Linked DNA regions of Mus musculus. The protein of the gene in region 1 purifies or fractionates together with the protein of each later gene. This does not show direct contact. Links are inferred from orthologs where the notes say so. Each region holds a gene or a part of one and is shown in the gene's direction. Other genes may lie near its edges.

Region 1 (3,155 bases):
TTCTAGTGGCTCAACTAACCCCACTTGTAGCCTTGGTTGGAACTGGCCCTGCATGTCTGGCACGGAAGGTGTCAAAGCTCTTTCACAGCAGTTTGTCTCACATGGTCATTTTTCTCTTGTTCAGAGCAGTCAAGTAGGTGCTGTCACAGTGTCTTTGCTGTTGGGCAGCGCTGTGACACCGAGAACTCCTCCTTAGCCCTTGCCTGCTTAGAGCAGGGGACTGCTGACTGGGTGCAATGCCAGCCTTGAGGCACTGAGAGTTCATTCATCTTCTTTAGATAAGGGATTCTGCTGTTTGATGAAACATCCTACCAAAAGTGTGTATCTCTTGCATGAGCCATACCTTCTCCCTAGAAGGTCCCACAGGCCGTTACTATTTATGTCTGAGTGCTGTATTACCCTGTACTTCCTTCTCAGTTACATGGACACAGAGCAGTTTGAAGAAGCCGTGCGGGACTATGAAAAAGTGTATCAGACGGAGAAAACAAAAGGTACGAGGACAAAGGGGCAGAGACGTGTTGCTCGGGGGGGCTGTGGTCTTCTCGGTTGTTGGTCGCAGCACTTAGGACCATTCCATTTGCTCACTAGCCTGGAAGCCAGCAGTTCCTGGGAGGGGCTCAGGCACCTGTGTTCTGGCTCTGTCTCCTCCCTGTTAGTCTCACTTCCTATATATTCAGAAGAAAGCACCAAAAGAGTCCCTGTTGTGGTTACCAAAGTTTCTACCCCTTAGGCAGGCAGCTGGGCTGTCTGTTGATGCTGCCTTTCTCCCTCCAGAACACAAACAGCTCCTTAAGAATGCACAGCTGGAACTGAAGAAGAGCAAGAGGAAAGATTACTACAAGATCCTGGGAGTGGACAAGAATGCCTCTGAGGACGAGATCAAGAAAGCTTACCGGAAACGGGCCTTGATGCACCATCCAGGTGAGCGCTGGAGGAGGTGCAGCAGAGCCCACAGCGCAGATGCAGTGGGCACCCAGGAGATCGCTCTTCAGTGGGAAGGAGGGGGTGCTGGACTCCCTGTCCTACAGGCTGTGGGAGGTGCCACATTCCAAACTTGGACAATAATAGACTTTGTTTTCCTGTGTCCCTGGTTTCACTGAATCCTCTAGATCGGCACAGTGGGGCCAGTGCCGAAGTTCAGAAGGAGGAGGAGAAGAAGTTTAAGGAAGTGGGAGAGGCCTTTACCATCCTCTCTGATCCCAAGAAAAAGACTCGTTATGACAGTGGACAGGACTTGGATGAGGAGGGCATGAATATGGGCGGTGAGTTGGTTTGGGCATCTACAATGAAAATGGTCCCTGTACCAGAAAAGCCCCCATTGAAGTTACCAAGGCTTCTGCCCTCGGGGCAGCTGGGTTGGGACACCCCAGAGGGGAGGTCTACAAGTACTCAGCCAGCGACATAAGCCAATAAATAGGCTGTTAAAAAAAAATGAGCTAGGGCAGGAGCCATCAGAACTGTTGTGACCTGGACTAAAGCGTCAGGGTCTCCAGGACTGGTACAGTGGCTTTGGTAACACTGAATTTGAGCCTTCTCAGCACGGCCCCAGCATTATAGGAGGGCAGATGCAGATGGCGTTCCTAGCTAGGTAAGAAGCCCACTCGGAGGCAGGGGAAGCTTCCCTTCTAGACTTCACCCGGAAGGGCACAGATCCCAGAAGCAGGGTCAGCAGGTTCTGCCTGGCTGACATGGGGAGAGGCTTGCTAACATCTAGGCTGAAATGGAAGAGCAGAGTGAGCCTCAGAAGTCTTCTGCATCAGGTTCCTCAGATCTTTCTGATTTCCCCCTTTTTTGCCCTTTCCTTCCTAATTACCAGATTTTGATGCAAACAACATCTTCAAGGCATTCTTCGGTGGTCCTGGGGGCTTCAGCTTTGAAGGTAGGTTTGCCTGCTGCTCGCTCTTAGGAGCTCCCAGGTGACAGACCAGCACTGGCCCCTCACTCAGCAGCACCTGGGGAATCTGAGTGGAGACAGCTGGATCCTTGTTCAGCAGGACAGGTGTCTATGCTCGTGTGGCTGATGAGGCTCCTGGGTTTATTTTTCTTGGGACCATTCTCAGTGCAGTTAGCAAAGTCAGAGAAGCATCCCCAAGCCCCGTAGTGTCATGCCTTCTCCATAAGAGCAGGGGTGTTGAGAAGCTACACACAAAGTGCGCTTCAGCCCAGTGGTAGGGCGCTCACCCTGCATGCTGGCCCTTGTGCTCTAGGCTTAGACTGCCTGATACCCTTGGAGTCTCTGTTTGGATTAAGCTGCTCTTTAAGACTTTGGTATAACAACAGTGGTTTTCCTAAGAAAACCACAGAGCCAACTAACAAGCCTTTCTTTTTCCTTTCAGCATCTGGCCCAGGGAATTTCTACTTTCAGTTTGGCTAATGAAGGCCAACTACTTAAAACCCAGAAAATGCAGACTTGCTTGGTTTAACCATGAGTGTGGACAGTTCACTTCCTCCATCATGTCCCTGTGTACTTAGAGCAGTTTCGTTTTCTCAGTCGGGTGCCCTGTGTCTGTATGAGGGGTGAAGGAAAGGGGGCCAGTGCTGAGGACTAGGGAGGGAGGGAAGCCAGGGGTAGACAGGGAAGCAGGCAGCTTGTGAATTTTTGTTGTATTGTTTAACTTTATTAAAAAAGAAAAAGAATAAAATGTTTTGACCGTTCTTTGGTCCTTGGCTTTGGCAGCTGCTCTGTACCTGAGGTTCTTCCAAGAGCATAGGCACCAGGTGTTGTATGAGTGTGTGTGTGTGTGTGTGTGTGTGTGTGTGTGTGTGTGTGTGTGTGTTTTCTCACTATGTAGGCTCAGGCTAGAGCAGTCCTCCTGCCTCAGCCCTCTCCAGTGCTGGGATTAAGGTATAAGTCACCACACTGTCCGGCTCCTATAGCAGGGCACTGGAGCTTGAGGGATATGGACAAGAGGACAAAATTCTGCTCCTGCCTGCCAGTGGTGGTGCATGTTTTTAATCCCAGCACTTGGGAGGCAGAGGCAGGTGGATTTCTGAGTTCAAGGCTAGCCTGGTCTACAGAGTGAATTCTGGGACAGCCAGGGCTACACAGAGAAACCCTGTCTCGAAAAAAAACAAAAAAATTCTGCTCTTTCAAAGCATGGCAGGCAGCTCCTGGTCTCGGGCCTTTGCTGGCTTAAGGCTCAAACTGTTGGAAA
Region 2 (4,155 bases), about 30 Mb from region 1:
AGGGTTGCCTTTCATGGTGTCTGTTCACAGCAGTAAAACCCTAACTAAGACAATAGGAAATACAGTTAACGCTGTTAATATTCAGAGATGTACAATTAAGACTGCAGTGGTAAACCTTTCAGACCACTCTAATGGATAACAGGAAGGATCTATGGAATTGAATGTGCACCGTGCTATGGAGCAGCTACAACAGAAGTACCATACACTGGTTTTTAGAAATATAAAATAGAAGAGCCATTTTGGAAAGTTTTTGTATTTAATTGTTTTCTCTATTTTGGCTTTGTGTGTATAAATGTTTTGTGTGTGCAGTGGCCACAGAGGCAAGAAGAGAACATCAGATCCCCTGGGGACTGCTTGGTGAGCAGCCATGTGGGTGCTAGGAATCAGACTCAGGTCCTCAGCTCATGCACAGAGCCATCTCTCCAGCCCCGGGGTTTGTTTTTTCAGCAGTGTTTTGCTGTGTAGCCTCAGCTGGTCTCAATGCCCAAGCTTCACAATACTCTCTCCAATTCTCTGTGCTGCTGAGCTACAAACTGCCAAGCCCAGACCTCGACAGCAAACAGTAAGTTAAACATACACTTATATGACCCAGTAGTTCCACTCTAGTTGTTTACAGAAGAGGAATTAAAATAATAAGTCCACAAAAATGACTGGCACATAAATGTTTATTGGAGGTTCATTTCCAGTGAACAAAACCTAAAACAATTCAAATGATGATTCAGCGGAAATTTGGAAGGGAAAAAAAGGACAGCCTTTAGGATCTGGGGAAAAAAAGTTTTTTCCAGACTGAAATTTACAGGCGATTAGGTTCCAGGTTCCGAAATTGGTCTGTTATTGTCGCTCAGTGTCGGGCTAATCACTCCTGCGTTAAAAGAGCGTTTCAAGAATGAAGAATGCGATTTCTCATACAGCAACGAACTTGGCAGTCACTCGGCTTTTTATGCTCTTATTACCTTCCATCAACAAAGGCTATCTGTACCGGGCCCACCAAGGGGACATCTGCAGGTCCTCGCAACCCAGGCCGTTCTGCCCGGATTCCAGGCAGTGCTGGGGACCAGACTACCCAATGGCCGCGCGCGCGCGCGCGCGCAGTAGAGGAATGTGCACTACGTGGATCGCACACTGGGGGGTGCTGGACATAGCCAGCAGGTGCCCCGAGGGCAGCTGGAGGAAGAAGACAGCCCTGGGGAGTGGGCGGCCTCCGGAGTGGGCGGCCCGGGCCCGGGCGTCTCTAACGCAGGGCGGGCAGAGGACGGCGGGGGCGGGACCCAGTCGACGCGACAGTCGTGGAGGTGAGCCCTGGGGGCCTTCCCGCCCCCCGAGGGCAGGCTCTGAACCCCGGCCCCGCCCCGGCCCTCTGGGGTGTAGGCTCCTGGCTGAGTTCTGCCTGCTTGCGAACCCGCACGGGCGCCGGGGTCCGCATCCAGGGTGCGGGGGCCCGGGACGTGGCGCGGCTGAGGTCCGGAGCCCCGGGAACCGGGCGGGGACGCTGTCGGGCTGGAGCTGCAACGGCCTTCTGACTCAGCCGCTCGTCCAGATTTCGGGATCTCTCTCCTGGGCGGGGAGCGCGCAACTTCCTCATTCCCGCCCGGACCCTTGCTTCCAGCCAGTCTGACCTGACTTCGAGCCTCGCTGTCACCAGGGCTCCTCCCTTGGACTTAACCTCGCCCCAGTTCGAGGCCATCCCACCTTAGCTAGGTGCTTTTTTGGACCTGAATTTGGAATGAGAAGCGGGGCTGAGAGGCTCTGGTTGAAGGCTGGGGGAGGGAATGGAGGTTGCAGGGGTGGGTGTTAGAGGGGCGTCGGTCTACAACCCTAGACGTTGAGAGTCACTGAGTAAGACGGGAGAGGACCGACCGGGGGCGTTGGATGGGGAAGGGGTGTTTCTGTAGGGCGAGTCCCTTCCTGAGGCTTCCTCATATTCCTAGGATGACTGTAACCCAGAAGAACCTCTTTCCCTATGGGGACTATCTGAACTCCAGCCAGTTGCACATGGAGCCAGATGAGGTTGACACTCTGAGGGAAGGAGAGGATCCAGGTATAGAGGGAGATGGCTCCCAGAGAGGGGAGATAGGGATCTGAGGCCTCCTGAGATCTTTACACCCTTGGGTTGTTTTGTTTTTGTTTTGCTTTTTTCCCCTCCCAGCTGATCGAATGCATCCCTATCTGGCCATCTATGACCTTCAGCCTCTGAAAGCACACCCCTTGGTGTTCGCCCCTGGGGTCCCTGTTATAGCCCAGGTGGTGGGCACCGAAAGATACACCAGCGGATCCAAGGTCAGTCACCAGCGGATACCAGGGAAGGCGAGAGAGGGAGTCCTGGCCCAAGTGGAGGCCTGGGTTGGGCCAGAAGACATATTTTAGATTTTCATATCCCCAGGTGGGAACCTGTACTCTATATTCTGTTCGCTTGACGCATGGTGACTTTACCTGGACAACCAAGAAGAAGTTCCGACACTTTCAGGAGCTGCATCGGGACCTCCAGAGACACAAAGTCTTGATGAGTCTGCTCCCTTTGGCTCGGTGAGTAGAACTCGGTTGCTTCCCGTGAAAGGCAGGTACTTCTCACCCCATGGCAGCCTCACTCACTCCTGTCTGTCTGACTCTTATCCCCTGGGCATTTTCCTTCCTCAGCTCTGTGCCGTGCCCCCTCCCTTGTCCCTGGTTCCCAGGAAACTTTCCCTGCTTGGATCTCCTCCATAGTACTGTGCCAATATTTTAGCCAGGCTGGATGCCCAGAATTGTCCTTAGCAACCCCCTCCTCCCAGTTGTCTCCATTCCCAGGACAGAGACCCTTTCTTTCTTCTGCCTTTCTTCTTTCTTTCTTTCTTCTGCTAGCCTTTCTTCCTCCAAGGCCCCGTCTCCAGCTCCTTCTTGAGTCTTCTCTCATCTCTGTAGCTTTGCTGTGACCCATTCTCCAGCCCGAGAGGCAGCCGCCGAGGATATACCCTCCCTACCCCGAGGAGGTTCTGAGGGCTCTGCCAGACACACAGCCAGCAAACAGGTATGCAGCAGGTCCTGTAGCAAGGTGTGCAGTATGCAAAAGGTTCTGGCTACATCTGTTTCTTTTCCGTCTCCCTTCAGAAATACTTGGAAAATTACCTCAACCGCCTCCTGACCATGTCTTTCTATCGCAATTACCACGCCATGGTAAGGTCCTGGATGCCTGGGTGGATCCTTCTCTCTCCCTCCTGTTTTTATTTTTTAATTAAAGATTTATTTATTATATGTAAGTACACTGTAGCTGTCTTCAGACACTCCAGAAGAGGGCTTCAGATCTCATTAGGGATGGTTGTGAGCCACCATGTGGTTGCTGGGATTTGAACTCAGGATCTCTGGAAGAGCAGTCAGTGCTCTTAACTGCTGAGCCATCTCTCTAGCCCACCTGTTTTTATTCTTAACAACAAAACAAAACAGGGTCTTACTGTAAAACCTGGGCTAGCCTTAAACTTTCTGTGTAGACCAGGCTAGCCTTGAACTGACCTAGATACACCTGCCTCTGCTCCCAAGTGCTGGTATTAGGTGTGTGCCAACATACCCTAGGATGCTTGTGTTTTTTGAAGTAGATGAGGATCATCAGATCCCCAGGGGACAAAGGGTGCAGAGTTAGTAGGGCAGGGGAGGCTGAAAGCCAAGTCTCCCCCTAAACTTATTTCTTCCTCTGCAGACAGAATTTCTGGAAGTCAGTCAACTTTCCTTTATCCCAGACCTTGGCTCCAAAGGACTGTGAGTGTGGGAACTCCTTACCCAGCCTTCAGCAGGCATAAGTCTCCATCTTCCTGCTTGAAAATAAAACTCGGTACAGTGTGCCTAGGGTCCCCAATGATCTTGCTTGTCCCTGTAGGGAAGGGGTGATCCGGAAGCGCTCGGGCGGGCATCGAGTTCCCGGCTTCACCTTCTGTGGCCGAGACCAAGTTTGTTATCGATGGTCCAAGAGGTGAGCAAGGGCTGGAGCTAAGGCATCAGTGGGCAGGAAGAGGGAGACCTGGAGGACCTGGATGATACCACACGGCCCTTCCGCTCCAGGTGGCTGGTGGTGAAGGACTCCTTCCTGCTGTACATGCGCCCGGAGACCGGCGCCATCTCATTTGTTCAGCTTTTTGACCCTGGCTTTGAGGTCCAGGTCGGAAAAAGGAGCACAGAGACGCGGTATGG
Region 3 (4,227 bases), on another chromosome or scaffold:
CTCTGCACCTGACTTGAGGTGGTAGCTTTACTCCTGGCCATGGCCGGAATCCACAGGAGGTGGGGCCCCTGGGAAGAAACTGTGGACTTCCAGGTCAGTCCAAGTTCAGCAATCGTTTATTGTGCTACAAGAGCTTCCAATCTCCTGTTCTTTCAGCCTCCCTTCCAAACGCAAGCCCACAACAGAGCTAGGTTCACTTGGCCTGGGTCCTGTAATTCTTGGCAGGTCCTTGTGGGAGGCCCAGTCAGGGTGAAGGTCAGGCAGCAGGTCTGGGCATACATCTGCCCCCCAAGTTTGCACAAGACGAAGAGTCTACAACTCTAAGACACTCACTAGTGAGGTCCACAAGGGTTCTGGGGTCAAGTTACTAACCACCAGAACCATGATGGGGCCCTGGATGACCTCTCAGGCCCCGCTCAGCCCCGCTCAGAAAGGCAGTGAACTCTTGCACCTGGGCTAGAAACAGCAAGTAGTGCTTGAGTGTGTACTGGAGGGTTAGCAAGCTAGGAACTGTAGCCACCGCCTCTTCGTATATGAAAGCTGCAACCCCAGAAACCTCTGCCTCCAGGACCACTGCAAAGAGTGACAAGGAGGTTCTGGGGATAGCTTTTTTTGAGCTCCTAGAGCCCCCACCCAACTTGGGCAAAGATGCTACCTACTCACTCGAGGCAGTGGCAGAAACCACGCAGCGAAGTTTGACTGCGGCGCCCAGATCAGCAGAAAGCCGAGTTCTGCTTCTCCAAGTCCGGGGTTGGGGGTGTTAGCGGCCAACAGCTGATGCAGCAGCGGCTAGAAATGCCTCAACGACAGACCATGGGGTCAAAGGGTCTTGGTGCAGGCGCTCTCCAAGGAAACCAGCCGGCTCCGCCCTTGAAGAAGCTCCTCCCCATGACCGCGAGAAGGGCAAGAGTCCAGCCGTGCACCCGCAGCTACTTCTATAGCAACCGCAGAAGGTCCTTCGGTGTCAGCGTGTCACGTGCTTGTTTCTCAGCCATTAATGGCCGCAGGCAGCTCCTCCCGATTCCCGAGGAAGCCCCTCGAGAGCGGTCTGATCTGCGGGCCTCTCTTCTACCCTCAATTCCGCCTTCCTACCGGCGGTCCAGACGTTCCCAGGCTGTCGCGTGAGCCCGTGTGTGCCCTGGTGGTGCGCTAGGACCCGGGCCTAGTGACCGGCCCTCGGAAGGCCACTTCTCAATGACCGCTGCCACGTTCGCCCAGCTTGGGGCCGGAGGGCGGGGCTTGAGCGCCGATGGGCGGAGCCTTGGTCTGAGCAGGGTAGGTCTCGGTTACTGTAGGGCGGGGCCTGTAGAGCGCGGCGGAAGCTTCTCAGAGCTAAGGGAACTGGCTCAATCCACGAGGCTCCGCCTTTGCTCACGTGTCCCCATGCCAGCTCCGCCCCACACCGGAAGTTCCGGTGGCGGATCGCCGACCGGGCGGAGCTGATCGCTGCGCGGGCTGCGAGATCTAGGTGGCCGGGCGCGGAGCCCAAGCCGTGCCGCGCGGCGCCATGAAGGGCAAGGAGGAAAAGGAGGGCGGCGCGCGGCTGGGCACTGGTGGCGGCGGCAGCCCTGATAAGAGCCCGAGTGCGCAAGAGCTCAAGGAGCAGGGAAACCGGCTCTTCGTGGGCCGCAAGTACCCGGAGGCGGCGGCCTGCTACGGCCGCGCCATCGTGAGTGCGGGAGGGGCGGGGGCGGGGCCCGATGTGCCTCCCAGTTTTGTGATCCCGGACAGGGTTTCTGGCAGCCTGGACTCGATGGCTCGCTCGCTCCCCTGGTGCCCGGATTGCTGTTCCCGAGTCTAGGGCTGATTTGACTGGGAACTGGCGGGCGGGATGCTTGATTAAGTAAGACTAAGGATGACACCAGGAGCTCTTGCCCCTTGAGATTTCCAAGCCCAGAGCTTGTAGAGGGGTTGTGGGATTTCTCTCAAAAGCAGTTGGAGGCAAGAAAGCATGGCCAGAATCCAGAGCTCTTGATAATTCGGAAATCTCCAGTTCCTCTATTCCAGCCATGGGCCCCCAAAGCTGGAGCATTGACCAGATCATTGGCTTTCAGCTTGCTAAATGAGAGGGGATCAACTGAGCCCACACTCTTTGACGCCTGGTCTTGGTCCCCAGACTCGGAACCCACTTGTGGCAGTGTACTACACTAACCGGGCCCTGTGCTATCTGAAGATGCAGCAGCCTGAACAGGCACTTGCTGACTGCCGGCGAGCCCTGGAGCTGGACGGGCAGTCTGTGAAGGCGCACTTCTTCCTGGGGCAGTGCCAGCTGGAGATGGAGAGTTATGATGAGGCCATTGCCAATCTGCAGCGAGGTGGGCTGACAAGATGCAAGGTTGAGGGCACCTTGGGGGACCAGGATTGTTGACAAGTGTAACCAAAAGTGTCCACTCCCCTAGCCTATAGTTTGGCCAAGGAGCAGCGACTCAACTTTGGGGATGATATTCCTAGTGCCCTTCGCATTGCTAAGAAGAAGCGCTGGAACAGTATCGAGGAACGGCGCATCCACCAGGAGAGTGAGCTGCATTCATATCTCACCAGGCTCATTGCTGCTGAGCGAGAGAGGTGGGTCCCTCCCCCAGCAGACACTGAGTCACCAGCACAAGTGTTTTTATTGAAGGACAACAACCGGTACATGGGAAGCCCAGGAGGAAAGAGGCCTGAGATGGGGCGGGCTCTGTGATTTCCTGGTCAGGGCCATCACCAACTAGCTTCTGGTTAACCCTCAGGGAACTGGAGGAGTGTCAGCGGAACCACGAGGGTCATGAAGATGATGGCCACATCCGGGCCCAGCAGGCCTGCATTGAGGCCAAGCACGTGAGGGTGCCCCTAGTCCACATGTGGGTCATTGTGTGTGTGTTTGTGTGTGGCATGAAAAGTGCCCCAGCCTTTGGTGGATCTGTTGGCCCATGCATGACATGAGTGCCCTGGTGGACAGAGTGTGTGTGTCTGTGTGGAGACAGGAGTTGCCCACACATGGCACTCAACTCTGCAGGATAAATACATGGCAGATATGGATGAGCTCTTCTCTCAGGTGGACGAGAAAAGAAAGGTGAGGACCCCCGGAAGCTCATCGGCTGCTGCTGGTATGGTGACCCCCACAGCCCCCTCCAGTTCTAGACATTTTCCCCTTGTGCTATAGAAGCGAGATATCCCTGACTACTTGTGTGGCAAGATTAGCTTTGAGCTGATGCGGGAACCCTGCATTACACCCAGTGGTATCACCTATGACCGCAAGGACATTGAGGAGCACCTGCAGGTAAGGAGGGCCCATGGAGACCGGGCCATGGAGAGCCTTGGTACCCGGATCGGTATACTCAGGCCATTGAACACTCTTGACTCTGTTGCAGCGTGTGGGCCACTTTGACCCTGTGACCCGGAGCCCTCTGACCCAGGAACAGCTCATCCCCAACTTGGCCATGAAGGAAGTCATTGACGCTTTCATCTCTGAGAACGGCTGGGTAGAGGACTATTGAGGCCCCATGTCCTGCCTGGCACCCTGGCCCAGGAGGATCTGGAGACGGAAGCTCCAGTCCCTGTATAGTTTGTGTCCCTGGGCCTGCCCCCATCGGCCCTGCTGATGGGTTCTGAACTGCTCCCCTTCTCAGCATACCCCTTGCTGGACCATGAGCCTCCCTTGTCCCCCTTCTGGGCTGGAGAGTGGGTGAGGGTGGGCTGAGGTTGCTGCTGCTGCCACTGTCCTGTAATAAAGTCTGTGAGCACTACATTGGCATGTGCTGGTGCAGTGGGCTTGCCAGTTGCCTGTCTGGCTAGCCAAGGAAGGTAGAAATGAAGACACTGGTGTCCAGATTGAGTGTGGCATGCCACCACCGATCAGGAAAATACAGTACCTGGGAGAAAAGAAAAAAAAAATTTTGATTCATGGCTTTTTGAGTTAGCCCAACCCCCACCTACCAGCTACTGACTTCACCAGCCTGGATGGTACATTCTAGAGGCCGTGCTGACAGGGCTAGAGATGGGTATATTTCCAGCAGCCAGGCCAATGTGGTCTTGTTAGGGTGGAACTCAGGTGTCTTCTCAGGAGGGTAGAGGAACCAGCGCTGGAGGCAGGAGTGTAAGGTCACTATGTGTGCAATGGACTATAGACACCAGATTTACACACACACATAACACACACATAACACTGTACTGACCTTCCGACCATAGATAACCTCTGAGAAACCAGGCCCATGCCAGTGGAAGGGTACCCCAGATCCAGCTCCTGTG
Region 4 (3,500 bases), about 22 Mb from region 1:
CCATTGTCTGGATGTGGACCCTAGGAACAAAAATAACACCATTTAAACTGGTATTTCTATTTTTATTGGAAATCGTTCACTTTTATTTTTAGTAACACTGAGGGGAACTAAATAGCTTTTATCTTATCCTTTGGGTCAAGGGTTGGATAGAGTGAACTGCACCCGTGTTCCAGGTTGAAGATGTAGCTCAGTCCTTACCTAGACAGGAAGTAATAGAAGCTCAGTGTGGTCCTGCATGTGTTCTCCTTCCCTTCGAGACGCTGACCTTTCCCCATTTCCGATTTCCTTGCCAGGTGCTTACATGTTGCAGAAGCTGATTGAAGAGACAGACAGATTTGTAGTATTCACAGAAGAGGAATCCGGTATGAGTGACCAATTGTGTGGCATTGCTGCCTGCCAGACAGATGACATATACAACCGAAACTGCCTTATTGAGCTGGTTAACTGCCAGGTATCTTTTTTTAATAGGAAACCAGTACGAAGATAGATCCCAAATAAAAATGTTTACTTCCCTATCATTTTTTTAAAAATACAAAAAAAAAATTAGGATTCTACAAGTTGGATGTGGCGGCTCACACCTTTAACCCAAGGAAGGCTCTTGGGAGGCAGAGCCAGGGGGAATCTTTGAGTTTGAAGACAATATAGTGAGACCCTGCCTCAAAAAGGGGGGCTGGGAGGGGGTCCCACTGTGTGGCTCAGGCTGGTCTCAAACTTGGCTGTCTTTGCCTTGGTTTCCTGAGTGCTGAGGGCTTGTTATTGCTAAACTCAATGTTTCTCCACGTATAACTGAAGAATGGGTGGCGAGAACTCAGCTTTGTACCTTTCTGTAGGTTTCCTGAGTAACACTTCCACGTATAAAACCCAATAAAGCTTGCTCTGTAAGCTAGAGTTAGCAGTGATCTGAATACCCTTCTCAGCCCCCTTTGTGTCTAAAACTGCATTTCTCTTGACATAGATGGTTCTTCGTGGAGCAGAGACAGAAGGCTGTGTCATTGTATCGGCTGCCAAAGCTCAGTTGCTGCAGTGCCAACACCATCCAGCTTGGTATGGTGACACACTGAAACAAAAGACTTCCTGGACTTGCCTGTTAGATGGCATGCAGTATTTTGCCACCACTGAAAGCAGCCCTACTGAACAGGATGGCCGACAGCTCTGGTTAGAGGTTAGTCAGCCTGGGTGGGGAGGTCCATTGTATATCTCTAGTTTTCTATAGTTGGCCCCTTCAACTAGAACCACTGGGAGATTCTTCATAGTACCTACCTTTCTGCTTAGTAGGAAAGGAAGCTGCTGATACCGTGACTGTGAGCAGCCTCTGTGCTGTAGGAACTAGTGCTTTTCTCTCCTGTGGCACTGTTACATTTACCAGCACTAGAGTAAGTAGACAGGAACTTTTTCCTTTTTTAGTTTGTAGTCCCTTAATAAACGTCACACAAACAGGCAACTAAGGAAATAGACAATGGATCTGAGAACTTTTTTTGTCAGTTTGAGACAAGTCTTGCTATGCAGTTTGGTCTCAGGCCCAGGTAGCCTGGAACTGGAGATCCCTTTGCCTTAGCATCTGTAGTGCAGGAAACGTGTCACATGGCTAGCCAAGGGTTTGTTTTTTTGTTTTTTGTTTTTTTTTCATAGCCTTTCATAAAGATGATTGTTTCAGCAATCATTGTTTTTTGTTTTTCAAGATAGGGTTTCTCTGTGTATCCCTGGCTGTCCTGGAACTTGCTATGTAGACTAGACTGACCTCAAACTCAGATATACACCTGCCTCTGTCTCCCAAGTCCTGGGGTTAAGGGCATGTGCTACCACCAACTGGCTAAGGTAGAACATTTTAATTTCTAAGATAGGCTCTTAGACTTACCGGAGGGTTGATGATCATGAGGCATATCAGGCTAGTGTTGTATATTATCATTTATATATTTGACATGTGGTAAGTGTGCACATAAATTAAAGGATTCAGTTATATCTGATAAAAAAACAATAAAAAACATGAATGATGATAATAAAATGAACCAGAGTGATAACCTCTTTTGTAGATCTTCTTGTCCCTGGCTAGAATGTCTGCAAAGGAACTTCTGGTTCAGTCAAGGCAACCTCAAGTGTAATGATGCCAGACACAGATGAACATTTAGATCAGATGTCAAGCCGAGTATGGCCAGGTTAGGTCACATAGGAAGTTAACCAACCATGTCTATTACTAGTATTCTTGGGGGTAGTCACAGAAAGTATCTTAGCTGGAGTTCTGGCTCAGTGGTAACACTTGATTATTATGCATAAGGCCCTGGGTTTGATCCCCATAACCACCAAAGAAATAGGGATGTAGGAGTGGTAATTATCTATGTAAAGGTGGGCAGAAGTTTCTGGGCATTTATAAGCAATGCCACCTTTTATAGTTGAAGGCTTTTTTCCCTCCCCTAAGTTGCATTAGCATTAAAGTGGAGAGATCCTTAGAGTTAGAATATGATTTTTCTCTTCCCCAGGTGACTTTGTGATTCAGTAGATCCGTCATCCAAATCCTGGATCTCTAAAATATTCGTGTGTGTCATTTATATATTTTTTTTGTAAGTTTTTTTTTTTTTAAATGTGTTTGTGAGTCTGCCATGTATGTATAAGTGCCCTCAAGAACCAGAAGAGGGTGTCAGGTCTAAAACTAATTACAGGTGATTGTGAGCTGCCATATAAGTGCTGGGAACTAAATCTGGGTCCTCTGCAAGAAGAGCAAGTGCTTCTAACTGCGAGTCATCTCCAGCCCCTAAAGCCTTATTTATGTTTATTTATTTTTAATATGTATGGGTACTTTGCCTGCGTGTATGTCTGTGTATCCAATGTATGCTTGGTGCCTGCAGAGGCTAGAAGAAAGTGTTAGATCTTATGAGACTTAGAATTACAAGAAGTTGTTAGATGTCCAGTTGATGCTGGGAATAGAACCTTCATCTTTTGGAAGAGCAGTCCGTGAGTGTTCGTAACCACTGAAACATGTCTCCAGTCCTGAAGCCTTGATCTTACTGCTTTGATTTTTCATGCCATTCATTCTGTTAGTTACCCTGATCTCCAAAGTGACAATATCAGAATGGTTTTCTTTTTAAGTAGGTGTATGTATAAGTGAGCATGTGATGTGTGTGCAATAAATATGTGCCTGTGCATTCCCAGAGGCCACAGGAACGGGCATTAAACGTCTATCATGTTGTGCCTTATTCCCTTGAGACAGGGTCTTTCATTGAAATTGGAGCTAGGCTGGGATTTAGCATGCTCCAAAATGTTTCTGTCTCTACCTTCCATAGAACTGGGATTACAGGAATGGGTGGCCTTCCCTGGATTTTTACATTGGTACTGAGGATTTAAACTCAGGCCCTATTATGTATGTATGAGAGAGATCTGTTGTTTTTAGAGGTTAAAAGATAATAGTTTTGTGGAGTCAATTCTCCCACTTTTTAATGTGTGACTGCCTAAATGTCTGTATATCATCTGCATGCCCTCTGACACCAGAAGGAGGGTGTCAGATCCCT
Region 5 (3,500 bases), on another chromosome or scaffold:
CTCACTCTGTAGACCAGGCTGGCCTCGAACTCAGAAATCCACCTGCCTCTGCCTCCCAAGTGCTGGGATTAAAGCCGTGCGCCATCACTAACCTTGTAACCCAATTCCTTCTGACTAAAGTAGAGATGATATCTGTCTACCTCTCTCTGGAATAATGAGACTGAAAAAGAATATTTAGCAAAGGTTTCGAAATGCTATTGGAATGAAAATGTGAATGTTATCTGGAATAAGTTTGATCCGAAAGCTTACCATATTATTTACCAAGAAGTAGTAGGAAGAGTCCTTTTATTTCCAGATGACTATAGCCAGGGTCAGTGGAGAGTTGGAGTCACCTTCATTGCTAATTAACACAGAACTGTTGTAGGAGCTCGCTTGCTCTGGCAAGGAGTCAAATGGTGGGGCTGACTTGTCAGGCTTCCTCGGCAGTGTACTGAGCATTTCCTATTCATGACCTATGTGCAGAGAGAAGGCTACCATTCTTTGCTGAGTCAGAGAGGTGTGCATGTGGTTGAAAATGAAACCCTGAGGATCTGTATTCTAAGATATCCAGTTCAGCTGGATCCCTCCAGGTAGAGCTTTTAATTGCTGCCATTGATTCGTTGGCTGATCAATTCTGTACGCTGTTTGTCTTCCTAGGTAAAGAAAAACCCGATCCAGGATAAAAGTTTGATGCCAGGAGATGACTTTATTCCTGAGCCACAAACAGCAGTTCATATTTCTTCAGGAGCTACGATGAATATCACAATATCCAAAAGCTGTCTTAATGTTTTCAGCAATTTAGCAAAAGTATGTGGTATTCTAGTGTGGAATATTTCATGTTGTGTTTAGGAAAGAAGCATGTATAGATTTTTTTTGTGTGTTTTTTTTGTTTTTTGTTTTTGTCATCAAAATAAATTTCAGAAAGCATGTAGCCATGGTAAAGTGCTCATAGAGGTGCATCGCTGAGGTCTTACTGGGCTGTGTTCCTTTGCAGGGTTTCTCCGAGGGAGCGGCTTCTACGTTTGACTACTCTCTGAAAGACAGGGCTCCTTTTACAGTCAAAAATGCGCTGGGTGTCCCCATGAAGGTGCAGCCCAATCGTAACCTCAAGGTCATGGGCTCCCCTGAGAAGAGTGACATTTATGACGTGGGCGCTGGTCAGCACTTGGAGCTGGACTACGCCAGCCTGGAACCTTCGCGCCAAGGGAAGCTGTCCATCCTGAGCCGGCAGGAGAGCTCGCTCTTCACACTGACCTTTGGTATGGTTGCTGCGCTTGCTGTGTTTTCAGAGCTTCGCAGGGATGGCACAGCGCAGTTTTGATAAGTCAGCCAATACTATTTCGCCAAAGATATCCTGGGAGACATTTGTCCAGGTTTCCAATAAATAGTTGATAATTCTCCTCTGGATTTCTTCTAAACATAAGATAGACTCTAATTAATAAGCACCTTATAAAACATGATTATTAATTTCTATGCCCTAAGAAATAAGCATTATGTTTCAAAAAGGATGAACATTCAGTTAAGGGAGAAAAGTGGCCATACTCAGAAGTCTAAGGTATTCATGGTAATGATACCATTACAAAGACAAGGAAATTATTATCTAGTTGAAAGAATAATTTAAAAAGTTGAATTTTTATTTTACTTTGTTTTAATTTGTATGCTCAATATTTTTATTCATTATTTATTTACTTTACATCTTGGTTGCAGCTTCCCCTCCTTCCTTTGCTCCTAGTCCCTCCCTCTCACCTCAGCTCCCCGGCCATCTGCCCTTCCCCTCTCCTCCTCAGAAAAGGGAGGCCTCCCCTGGATAGCAACCAACTTTGGCATATCACCTTGCAGTAAGACTATACCCATCTTGTACTGAGCTAGGACAGCCATGCTAGGGACAAGGGATTATCTAACATGTTGTCAGATGCAGCCCCTGCTCCCGCTTTAGGAGTCCCATATGAAGACCAGGCCGCACAACTACTGTTGCGTATGTGCAGAGGGCATAGGTCCATCCTAGGCATGCTCTCTGGTTGGCATTGCAGTTCCTGTGAGCCCCTATTTTGTAGATGTTAGCTGATTCTGTAGTTTTTTTTTTTTCTGGTGTCCTTAACCCCTCTAGTTCCACAATCCTTCCTTGCCCTCTTCCTTAGGGATCCCCAAGCTCTGCCTAATGTTTGGCTGTGGGTCTGTGCATCAGTTTCCATCAGTTGCTAGGCTCCTATCTGCAAGTGTAGCAGACTGTTGTTAATATTGTCAGGGCTTGGCTCTCTCCCATGGTATGGGTCTTAAGCTGGCCCAGTCATTGGTTTTCCCTCAAATTCTGCTCCATCTTTTACCCCTGCACATCTTGTAGTCAGGACAGATCGTGGGTCTAAGGTTTTGTGCCTGTGTTAGTGTCCTAATCTCTCCATTGGAAGTCTTGCCTGGTTACAGGAGATGGCCGGTTCAGGCTGCGCATCCCTCATTGCTTGCAGTCTTAGCTAGGGCTACTCTCAAAGATTTCTAGGAGTTTCCATTGTCCAAGTTTCTAGCTTGTTCCGAAGATGTGCCCCCTCCCTAGTCCAGAGGTCTCTCTCAGTACTCTCTCTCTCCCTTCCTTCTCCACCTACCTTATTCCTGCTGTTCCCATTCCTACCCCTCCCCCAGCCAGTCCTCTCCCTTTATCCATACCCAGTGTCTTTTCTATTTTGCCTTCTCAGTGAGATTCAAGCATCTCCTCCCTAGGCCCTCCTTGTTACTGAGCTTCTTTGGGTCTGTGGTTTATAGCATAGATACCCAGTGCTTTATGACTTATACCCACTTACACTTGAGTATACACCAGTTTCGTCTTTCTGGGCCTGGGTTACCTCTCTCAGGATGATTTTTTTTTCTATTTGTCTTAGCACACTTACCTTCTCATTGCTTGTAGCAAAAGTTTTATATTAGTTATTATTTTTCTTTTTTTTAATCTCAGAGTCTTAGGAAAACATTTATATTTCTAATGATGAGAAAACATATCCTTGCTATTAATTGTGAGGTGTTACTATTTTATTTGTTATTTATTTTATGGTATTTTGTATACATGTATGTCTGTGTACCATATGCATGCCCAGGGTCCTTCGAGGCCAAAAGAGGACCTCGGATCACTGTATTAACCCTATCACTGGTATTACAGATGGTTGTGAGGGCCATATGGGTGCTGGGACTCAAACCCAGGTCCTCAGCAAGAGCAACATGTGCCCATAACTGTTGAGCCATCTCTCCAGGTCCAGGGTTGGTTATTATTGAAAGGTAAATATTTTTACTTCTCTTCTCTTCAGTACCATATGGTTATACAGAAGTAGCTAGTGTTCCTGTCGCCAGGCCTGGCCGACGATTGTATAATGTGCGGAACCCCAGTGCCAGCCATTCGGATTCCGTGTTGGTGCAGATTGACGCAACAGAAGGCAATAAGGTTGTCACTCTTCGCTCACCTCTGCAGGTAATGCTGTCAGGGAATGTGTCCCCTTGTGGGTGCTAGGCAGAGGTCAGTCATTTAGCTGAGATTGGGAGGT
Region 6 (4,180 bases), on another chromosome or scaffold:
TTGTTTTTGTTTTTTTTCGAGACAGGGTTTCTCTGTATAGCCCTGGCTATCCTGGAACTCACTTTGTAGACCAGGCTGGCCTCGAACTCAGAAATCCGCCTGTCTCTGCCTCCCAAGTGCTGGGATTAAAGGCATGCACCACCACTGCCAGCTCACTATCTCTGTCTCTGTACCTTTAAAGACACTTTCTCTACAAGTGTTCCCTAGCTCCAAATCCATGGGGAGGCGGGGGGCAGGGCTCAACTGGTTCGGTTTTCATGGGGTCAGTACAGTTAGGAAAATCAAAACACATACACCACACACAGCTATACCATTAACGGAAGGCTAAAGTCATTTTTCTCAGGGGTGCCTAGGGCAAGGGTTATCTGACTCTCCTCCTACAGAGCTTCCAGAAAGGGAATGTCAACAGTTGTCCACTAAACAAGATGATTAATCATCTCTTTCAAGAACACCCTTTGTCCCTTGTCTTTAACAAATGCAGAATAATGTCAACTTCACCATATTCCACGACCATTCCCTTTGTACAGATGACCACACTGAGACCAGAAAAGCTACTCTACCAACCCAAGGTCACACAGCCAGAAAGTGCTAGGATGAGAGTCAGTCTTTCATGCACTTTCAGGCAGTCCCATTCCCTGCAAGAACCACCAATGACTATTCCAGCTTCTCTATGCCTTCCAATATCTGAAGCTCTCTCCTCTTCCTCACTCAGCTCCGTCCTTGACCGCCATCATCCCAGACTTACAAAACCAAAAGCAAAAAGCTATACTATATCAAAGTATTTGGAAATATTTACGAAGCACCCAGTGGATCTTTAAAAAAATCACGCAGCCCTGGTGGTAAACTCAGACGGCAAAGGAAGTGACAAGTATCAGAACGCCAAGAGGCGAGCTAAACCCAGTAGGAATTAGTAGGAAGTAAGATAAACCGGAGAGGCAGCCCGACTGCAGCAAGCCCAAGGCAGACCAGTCTCACCTCGCTTTACAGTAACGGCCTTACGGGAAAAACCAAGGGCTACGGGCAGAAGAGGGCGGGGTGCCTATTTTTATCCCTGGGTTAGAGCAGGAAAGCTTAGAGGTACTTGTCAGGTAGCTACCACAAGTCACGCAGCAGAACCTCCCAGCCGGCGATAACCTGGGGGAAAGGGTGCGGCCTTTCGGAGAGGCCCGTCTCTGTAGCCCCGCCCCTCTTCGCGCCTCCACCTGTCCGCAGAGAGAGAGAGGGTTGCGATTGGCTGGATCCGCTACGGAGGCGGAACCCCAGCAGCCGGCGCGCGCGCCCGAGGAAGGCGTTGACCAGAGTAGAGAGGGAAGGGGCGTGGCCCCGCGCGGAAAGCCGTTGGCAGCCGGGTCCCACCCCGGATGTGCTGCGTCACGGAGCGGGCCGCAGCGATTGGCCGGTGTCGTGCGGCGCATCGGGAGGGGCGGAAGGTTCTGGAGGGCTGGCGGGATCTGGAAGCTTCCGCCGGACGGGTATATAGAGTCCGGGACGGGGCAGCAGCGGAGCCGGAGGCGGCGACAGCTGGGCGGCGGTGGCCATGGGCAAGGACTACTATCAGACGCTGGGCCTGGCCCGCGGCGCGTCCGACGACGAGATCAAGCGAGCCTACCGCCGCCAGGCGCTGCGCTACCACCCGGACAAGAACAAGGAGCCCGGCGCTGAGGAGAAGTTCAAGGAGATCGCCGAGGCCTACGACGTGCTCAGCGACCCGCGCAAGCGCGAGATTTTCGACCGCTATGGAGAGGAAGGTACGTGTGCGCGCGGCCGGGGTGACCCGCCGTTTGACAGGCGGGGAAACCGAGGCACTCGGAGCCTCTCCAAGACCTCGGCCGGGGACAGGCATTCCGGGGATCTAGCGGCGGCGCCGCCTCCTTCACCCTCTGATCCGCGGCCTCAGACAGGAGGAGGAGCTCTGGGCGCGCCGCTGGCACAGAAGCTTCTAGCACGTCTGCCGCAGCCCCTCCCGGTCGGTCGCCTGCACAGCGCCGGAATGGTGCAGATGGAGGGCGGCGGTCGCGATGGGAATGAAAATTGCCCGAGTATTGATTCTCTTTCCTAGCCGCAAGCTCAGTGTTCGCTCACCCAGGGTTGAGCCTTTTTGGTAACAGTGCGTAGGAGCTTCTCTGTAAGATGGTAACAGCATAGCTGGGAGGATGGAGCAGTCACGTAAACCTGGTCGCACCGAGATCTAGAGGCCTTACTACCGAATATGTTGTCAGGAAGTAAAACGGAGTAGTGTGTTTCTTGCTCCTATTGCCATTGGGAGTTAAAAGACTTGAGATTCGTCCTTGACTAACAAGCTTTTTAATATATACATAAAATCCCTCCCGCTATAGTTCCTGTGGCCTTTTTACTAAGAGCAAAACTTGTTGAGCAGAGTGCGGGGGCTCACACCTCCACATGGGAAACCGAATTAGGAACGCTGTGAATTTGCTTCAAATCAGAGCTACAGGGTAATAAGCTCCTGTTTCCAAAGGAACCGGATGTTGTGACAATCCCCCCTCTGGGGTATTTGAGTCAGGAGGATTGCCTTGAGGCTACTCTGGACGAAAGTTTGTGTGTTACGTGGCATTGACAGTAATACATGCAAAAGGAACAAAATGTGACCATTTATTTGAGACAGGACCTCACTGTTGCTGGAACTTTGTTTTTCAATTTATTTGAGCGTGTGCCTCCGTGTATATGTGTATACCATTCACATGCTTCTAGAGAAGAGGGCATTAAAGGTCCCGGAACTAGAGTTAGACCATGGTCTGCTGCTATGTAGGTGTTGGAAATTGAACTTGGTTCTTCTGCCAGATGAGCCAGTGCTCTGAGCCATTTCTCCAGCACCTCATGGTGGAGCTCTGGCTTGTCTGGAACTTGCAGAGATCAGTCTGCACTTGTCTTGAGAGTGCTGGGGTTCTGAGCTCTTTGTTTCAGGGGTTTTATGTTTTATAAGTGTGTTGAAGTGTTGGGGGTGGAGGGAGGTGGGGCTGACTCTCCAGCAGTAACCCTGACTTGTGGTTTTGGTTTCCAGGCCTGAAGGGTGGTAGCCCCAGTGGAGGAAGCAGTGGTGGTGCTAATGGTACCTCTTTCAGCTACACATTCCACGGAGACCCCCATGCCATGTTTGCTGAGTTCTTCGGTGGCAGAAACCCCTTTGATACCTTTTTTGGGCAGCGCAACGGGGAAGAAGGCATGGACATTGATGACACATTCTCTAGCTTTCCAATGGGTATGGGTGGCTTCACCAACATGAACTTTGGACGTTCCCGCCCTTCTCAAGAGCCCACCCGGAAGAAGCAAGATCCTCCAGTCACCCATGACCTTCGGGTCTCCCTTGAAGAGATCTACAGCGGCTGTACCAAGAAGATGAAAATCTCCCACAAGCGGCTGAACCCTGATGGAAAGAGCATTCGAAATGAAGATAAGATCCTGACCATCGAAGTGAAGAGGGGCTGGAAAGAAGGGACCAAAATCACCTTTCCCAAGGAAGGGGACCAGACCTCGAACAACATTCCAGCAGACATCGTCTTTGTTTTAAAGGACAAGCCACACAATATCTTCAAGAGAGATGGTTCTGATGTCATCTATCCAGCCAGGATTAGCCTTCGGGAGGTAAGGTGCTAGGTGGGTGGAGGAGTCATAAAAAGAGATGGCTGCTGTGAGAATAATGGGTTGTGGGGTTGGGGGGGCTTTGGAGTGGGGTGTCAGCGGGCCTGGTCTGGTAGACCTGACCCTTCTCCGGACGGTCTGGAGGAGTGAAGCTCCTAAGCCAGCCACTGCCTGACACTGTCCTTTTGCTTCCCTAGGCTCTCTGTGGTTGCACTGTGAATGTCCCTACTCTGGACGGCAGGACCATCCCTGTTGTATTCAAAGATGTCATCAGGCCTGGTATGCGGCGGAAAGTCCCTGGAGAAGGCCTCCCTCTCCCCAAAACACCTGAGAAACGTGGAGACCTTGTTATCGAGTTTGAAGTGATCTTCCCGGAAAGGATTCCCGTCTCATCCAGAACCATCCTGGAGCAGGTTCTTCCCATATAGCCACCTGCACTCCTCAAGGACTGAGCCAGGGGCTTTCAGAGCTGCAGATCTCCAGACCGTTCCACTGGTTGCATACTGCGGGAGGGCCCAGGGAGGGCTTTTGCTCTGCCGAATGTTTTCCACAGAATATATTACAATCTTTCAAAGTCGCGCAC
Region 7 (3,500 bases), on another chromosome or scaffold:
TGTGCAGGGCTGATAGGTACATGCTGTGTGCAGGGATGATAGGTACATGCCGTGTGCAATACAGATAGGTACATGCTGTGTGCAGGGCTGATAGGTACATGCCGTGTGCAGGGCTGATAGGTACATGCTGTGTGCAGGGATGATAGGTACATGCTGTGTGCAGGGATGATAGGTACATGCCGTGTGCAGTACAGATAGGTACATGCCGTGTGCAGGGCTGATAGGGACATGCTGACCTCTCTTTTTCTGCTCAGCTCATCTTTTTTAATATAAGGAGTGTTATTTCTCTTTTTGCCATGATCATCATAATAGATAATTAGTGTATAAAATGAAGAGTTTGGAGAAAAAAAAACACATAAAGAAACATGACAAGTGCTTGTAGTAGTCCCAGTGGGAATATTTCCCAATAATCATCAAGTGTAGCTAGCTCTGTCCAGACGTGTTGAGTTCTTCCTTGTTATGAGAGTCTGTCCTAAAACAGAAATAAGAAAGGAACCAGAGACACTAACAAGCTTTGCCCTTTCTCTAGAGCTCTGGAGAGGATGGTCACTTTCAGGATGTTCATCACCCAGTTGAGCCTGGCAGTGTCTGACGACCTCACACACCAGGCACCATCGGAACTGCTAAGGCTCACCCTGGACAATGTTTTCCTCCACGTGTCTCCTGTGCCTGCTCTCCTCCCAGGGGAAGAGCCTCCCTCCAGCTTCTTCCAGCTTTACGGTGTGGAAGTCTACTGCGGAGACCTGCAGCTGGACAACCAGCTTTATAACAAGTCTAATTTCCATTTTGCTGTCTTGGTCTGCCAAGGAGAGAGAACAGACCCTGCTCAGTATTCCAGGGTGCAGAGTCTCCTGGTCTCCAGCAAAGCCTTGGAAGAATACAAGGAGAATTGCTTCATCAAACTTTGCCTCACTGTCTCTGAGGGGAAGGACATCCTCCTCGATGTCAGCGAGTTCACCTTTGAACTGAAGCCAGCACGGCTGTATGTGGAGGACACCTTTGTTTACTACATCAAAACTTTGTTTGACACCTACCTTCCTCCCAGCAGGATGTCTGGTCACCATGCACAGCTGTTCACAGGGCAGCAGGTGCTGCCTGTGCAGGTGACACAGCACGCCAAGGCATTGGTGAACGCAGTGAAGTTACGGAAGCTGCTCATCCAGCCAGTGAACCTGCTCATCAGCATCCATGCCTCCCTGAAGCTGTACATAGCCTCCGACCACACCCCTCTCTCCTTCTCTGTGTTTGAAAGAGGACCAGTGTTCACCACAGCAAGGCAGCTGGTGCACGCACTGGCCATGCACTATGCTGCTGGGGCTCTTTTCAGAGCAGGTGAGGATGCAAGGGAAGGGTCTGTGGCGGGCTAGCACCTGGACAGAAGTGGTCCATTGTGGCAGGGGGCTGTCTGTTACACAACACACGGGAAAGCAGGTAGGCCTGGGTGATAGGGCCACAGCTAACAGAACTGGATCTAGATCTGAATGTTCAGTGTAAACCTTGGGTGAATATCGAACTCTTGAGCCTGCATCTTCAGCTGTAAAGTGGATTTTAAAGGCTATGGGATGGTTTACACTAGGGACCAAGGAGAGAAATAAGACTTCTGTTTCCCATCTGGCTGGAAGAGCCTACAAGGAGTGTTTGATGTGAGTACAGAATCTTCCGTGAGGAGCATTCTGTGCAAACATGAAAATCGGGCTCCCTGTGGTACTTGACAGTCATCCTCTGTAGGGCATGTGTTCCTGACTCAGGGTCAGTCTTAGATAGAGGGTGCTAGCCTGCTCCCAAGGTGCTAACAGTTATCAGAGCAGCATCCACACTTGGCTTTGTTCAGGATGAGTTCCTGCACGAGATAACCTTGTTCTTGGTGAATGAATTCCCATAGCCTATTCAGGCTGTGGCAACAAATGACTGTATTACCATTAGTAAGAGGCCAGTAGTCATGCTACATGGGTAAGATTAAACCGTCTCCATAATGAAATACATAGAGATCAGGAACAGGTTGGCTGCACCATAGAAAAAAAAGGACAGCCTCCAGCTGAGAGCCTTAAATGACCTGTTGTTTGGATAGTTTGCACAATAATGAAGAAATTAAATGACTCCTTAGCAAGGAGCCATTTAAAAATAATGAGGAATATTTCAAACTGAATAGACATGTATATCTCTGTAAAGTACCCCAGACACTTACCCTTCTGGTACACTGACATATATCAGCTCTTTAGTCAGAGGTCAAAAGAGGAGGAGGACTCCCTGCGGTCACAGCTGACACCAAGCTAGGAAGCTGGCCTAAAGGACAGATTCCACCTGTGCCCGGGTAACCATGGCCTCCATAGGCTTTGTGCGAAACCTACTGCCTTGTTTTACTGGGACTGAGGGATCTCATGTGAACATTCTCTCTGGCCTTCTTATAGTTAGAAATCCTGTGATTGTCTCATTTTCAATATACAGCAGGAAAGAAATTTTAACACCAAAGCTGAAATTGAAATTGAAAACATTGTCACTAAAACTGAATATTACTTGAAAGAAAAGTCATTGGAGCATTGAGAAATAGAAAGGCCACGGGGAGGGTGGCTGGCAGGCCCAAAGAGAATGGACTAGCATTCCTGTAGAGAACGGATGAGGGCTAGCCAGGAGGGAGTGGGTTGTGTCCATCTCACTTAGGGCTGCATTTACCCACTGGACTCAAGGTTCCTGGCTGGGATGCTTAAAACACCATGACCTCATTTCTGGGGAAGTCTGTGGAGTCATTTGAAGAGGCTTTAAAAACCCATAACTGCTAACTAGAAATGAGTAGCTCCATTCAAAGGGAGGAATGTGGGCTTGAGAATTTCTCAAGGTTCTTGCCTACCTCCAGCTCCCACTCTCATAGACTCAGATCACCCACAAGATTTCCAAACAACTAAGCCAAAAATATGCAGATGAACCTCTGCATCCTTGGGTTCACATCTGCAGATCCAACTACTTGTAGCCTGAAAATACTGAAGAATTATGTGTGTTCTTGCCATTTATCCCTTAAATATGCAGAATAAATAGGCCAGCAAGATGGCCGCTGTCCAGTTGAGTGGGTAAGAGTGGAAGGAAAGGACTTACAAGTTGTCCCCTAGCCGCCACAGGTGTATACCTTTGCACACCCACAGCCACATAAATTAGGAGTAGTAGTAAACATTTTAAAGTCAGCAGCACGTTGGGCACAGCTTGTGCACTATACAGCAGTACACACTCAGGCAATGTCAGTGTAGTGCAGGTGGCCAAAGCTCGACGGCGAGTCTGGAACCCATGCCTGCTGGGTGCTGAGGCCACTTCACTCACCTCTGAGAAAAGAGTAAAGAGCATCCTTGTATACTCTCTGTCTTTTTGTCTAGCCTGGATGCCACCAAGTGGAATCTCCATCCACAAACAGCCCTCTGGTGGCTTCAGGCTTTACTGATCACAGATTTACTGATCAGCGGTACACCTTCCATATGGTTAGGAAGAATAGGAAAGGACTCTCAGCAGCCAGATGG

What was found.
Region 2: the proteins of Dnajc7 (region 1) and Pld2 purify together in Homo sapiens (affinity purification with mass spectrometry; 3 studies listed by BioGRID and IntAct, counting the BioPlex papers as one, with this or other methods). This does not show direct contact. The link is inferred for Mus musculus from reciprocal best matches to the Homo sapiens genes DNAJC7 and PLD2.
Region 3: the proteins of Dnajc7 (region 1) and Stub1 purify together in Homo sapiens (affinity purification with mass spectrometry; 3 studies listed by BioGRID and IntAct, with this or other methods). This does not show direct contact. The link is inferred for Mus musculus from reciprocal best matches to the Homo sapiens genes DNAJC7 and STUB1.
Region 4: the proteins of Dnajc7 (region 1) and 2610507B11Rik purify together in Homo sapiens (co-immunoprecipitation; 3 studies listed by BioGRID and IntAct, counting the BioPlex papers as one, with this or other methods). This does not show direct contact. The link is inferred for Mus musculus from reciprocal best matches to the Homo sapiens genes DNAJC7 and BLTP2.
Region 5: the proteins of Dnajc7 (region 1) and Vps13c purify together in Homo sapiens (co-immunoprecipitation; 4 studies listed by BioGRID and IntAct, counting the BioPlex papers as one, with this or other methods). This does not show direct contact. The link is inferred for Mus musculus from reciprocal best matches to the Homo sapiens genes DNAJC7 and VPS13C.
Region 6: the proteins of Dnajc7 (region 1) and Dnajb1 purify together in Homo sapiens (affinity purification with mass spectrometry; 3 studies listed by BioGRID and IntAct, with this or other methods). This does not show direct contact. The link is inferred for Mus musculus from reciprocal best matches to the Homo sapiens genes DNAJC7 and DNAJB1.
Region 7: the proteins of Dnajc7 (region 1) and Vps13b purify together in Homo sapiens (co-immunoprecipitation; 3 studies listed by BioGRID and IntAct, counting the BioPlex papers as one, with this or other methods). This does not show direct contact. The link is inferred for Mus musculus from reciprocal best matches to the Homo sapiens genes DNAJC7 and VPS13B.

What each region holds. Positions count from the first base shown.
Region 1 is NC_000077.6:100,582,318-100,585,472, reverse strand, and holds the end of Dnajc7 (dnaJ homolog subfamily C member 7), read left to right. Parts: intron 1-417; coding exon 418-491; intron 492-774; coding exon 775-921; intron 922-1,109; coding exon 1,110-1,262; intron 1,263-1,816; coding exon 1,817-1,879; intron 1,880-2,336; coding exon 2,337-2,374; 3' UTR 2,375-2,655; downstream 2,656-3,155. UniProt on the Homo sapiens protein: Acts as a co-chaperone regulating the molecular chaperones HSP70 and HSP90 in folding of steroid receptors, such as the glucocorticoid receptor and the progesterone receptor.
Region 2 is NC_000077.6:70,538,917-70,543,071, forward strand, and holds the start of Pld2 (phospholipase D2), read left to right. Parts: upstream 1-1,355; 5' UTR 1,356-1,698; intron 1,699-1,928; 5' UTR 1,929-1,929; coding exon 1,930-2,038; intron 2,039-2,146; coding exon 2,147-2,277; intron 2,278-2,380; coding exon 2,381-2,523; intron 2,524-2,898; coding exon 2,899-3,004; intron 3,005-3,084; coding exon 3,085-3,150; intron 3,151-3,667; coding exon 3,668-3,726; intron 3,727-3,844; coding exon 3,845-3,937; intron 3,938-4,026; coding exon 4,027-4,155.
Region 3 is NC_000083.6:25,830,134-25,834,360, reverse strand, and holds Stub1 (STIP1 homology and U box-containing protein 1), read left to right. Parts: upstream 1-1,441; 5' UTR 1,442-1,507; coding exon 1,508-1,669; intron 1,670-2,116; coding exon 2,117-2,315; intron 2,316-2,399; coding exon 2,400-2,565; exon of another isoform or gene 2,566-2,729; coding exon 2,730-2,817; exon of another isoform or gene 2,818-2,995; coding exon 2,996-3,052; exon of another isoform or gene 3,053-3,142; coding exon 3,143-3,259; exon of another isoform or gene 3,260-3,350; coding exon 3,351-3,476; 3' UTR 3,477-3,727; downstream 3,728-4,227. Other genes in the region: Jmjd8 (jmjC domain-containing protein 8 precursor), read right to left, coding at 3,771-3,851, 3,927-4,061, 4,155-4,222. UniProt on the Homo sapiens protein: E3 ubiquitin-protein ligase which targets misfolded chaperone substrates towards proteasomal degradation.
Region 4 is NC_000077.6:78,278,754-78,282,253, forward strand, and holds part of 2610507B11Rik (protein KIAA0100 precursor), read left to right. Parts: intron 1-293; coding exon 294-451; intron 452-955; coding exon 956-1,162; intron 1,163-3,500. UniProt on the Homo sapiens protein: Tube-forming lipid transport protein which binds to phosphatidylinositols and affects phosphatidylinositol-4,5-bisphosphate (PtdIns-4,5-P2) distribution.
Region 5 is NC_000075.6:67,944,851-67,948,350, forward strand, and holds part of Vps13c (vacuolar protein sorting-associated protein 13C), read left to right. Parts: intron 1-636; coding exon 637-786; intron 787-973; coding exon 974-1,238; intron 1,239-3,266; coding exon 3,267-3,427; intron 3,428-3,500. UniProt on the Homo sapiens protein: Mediates the transfer of lipids between membranes at organelle contact sites. Necessary for proper mitochondrial function and maintenance of mitochondrial transmembrane potential.
Region 6 is NC_000074.6:83,606,795-83,610,974, forward strand, and holds the start of Dnajb1 (dnaJ homolog subfamily B member 1), read left to right. Parts: upstream 1-1,380; 5' UTR 1,381-1,537; coding exon 1,538-1,748; intron 1,749-1,753; exon of another isoform or gene 1,754-1,966; intron 1,967-3,019; coding exon 3,020-3,600; intron 3,601-3,794; coding exon 3,795-4,025; 3' UTR 4,026-4,180. UniProt on the Homo sapiens protein: Interacts with HSP70 and can stimulate its ATPase activity. Stimulates the association between HSC70 and HIP. Negatively regulates heat shock-induced HSF1 transcriptional activity during the attenuation and recovery phase period of the heat shock response.
Region 7 is NC_000081.6:35,909,618-35,913,117, forward strand, and holds part of Vps13b (vacuolar protein sorting-associated protein 13B), read left to right. Parts: intron 1-529; coding exon 530-1,332; intron 1,333-3,500. UniProt on the Homo sapiens protein: Mediates the transfer of lipids between membranes at organelle contact sites. Binds phosphatidylinositol 3-phosphate. Functions as a tethering factor in the slow endocytic recycling pathway, to assist traffic between early and recycling endosomes.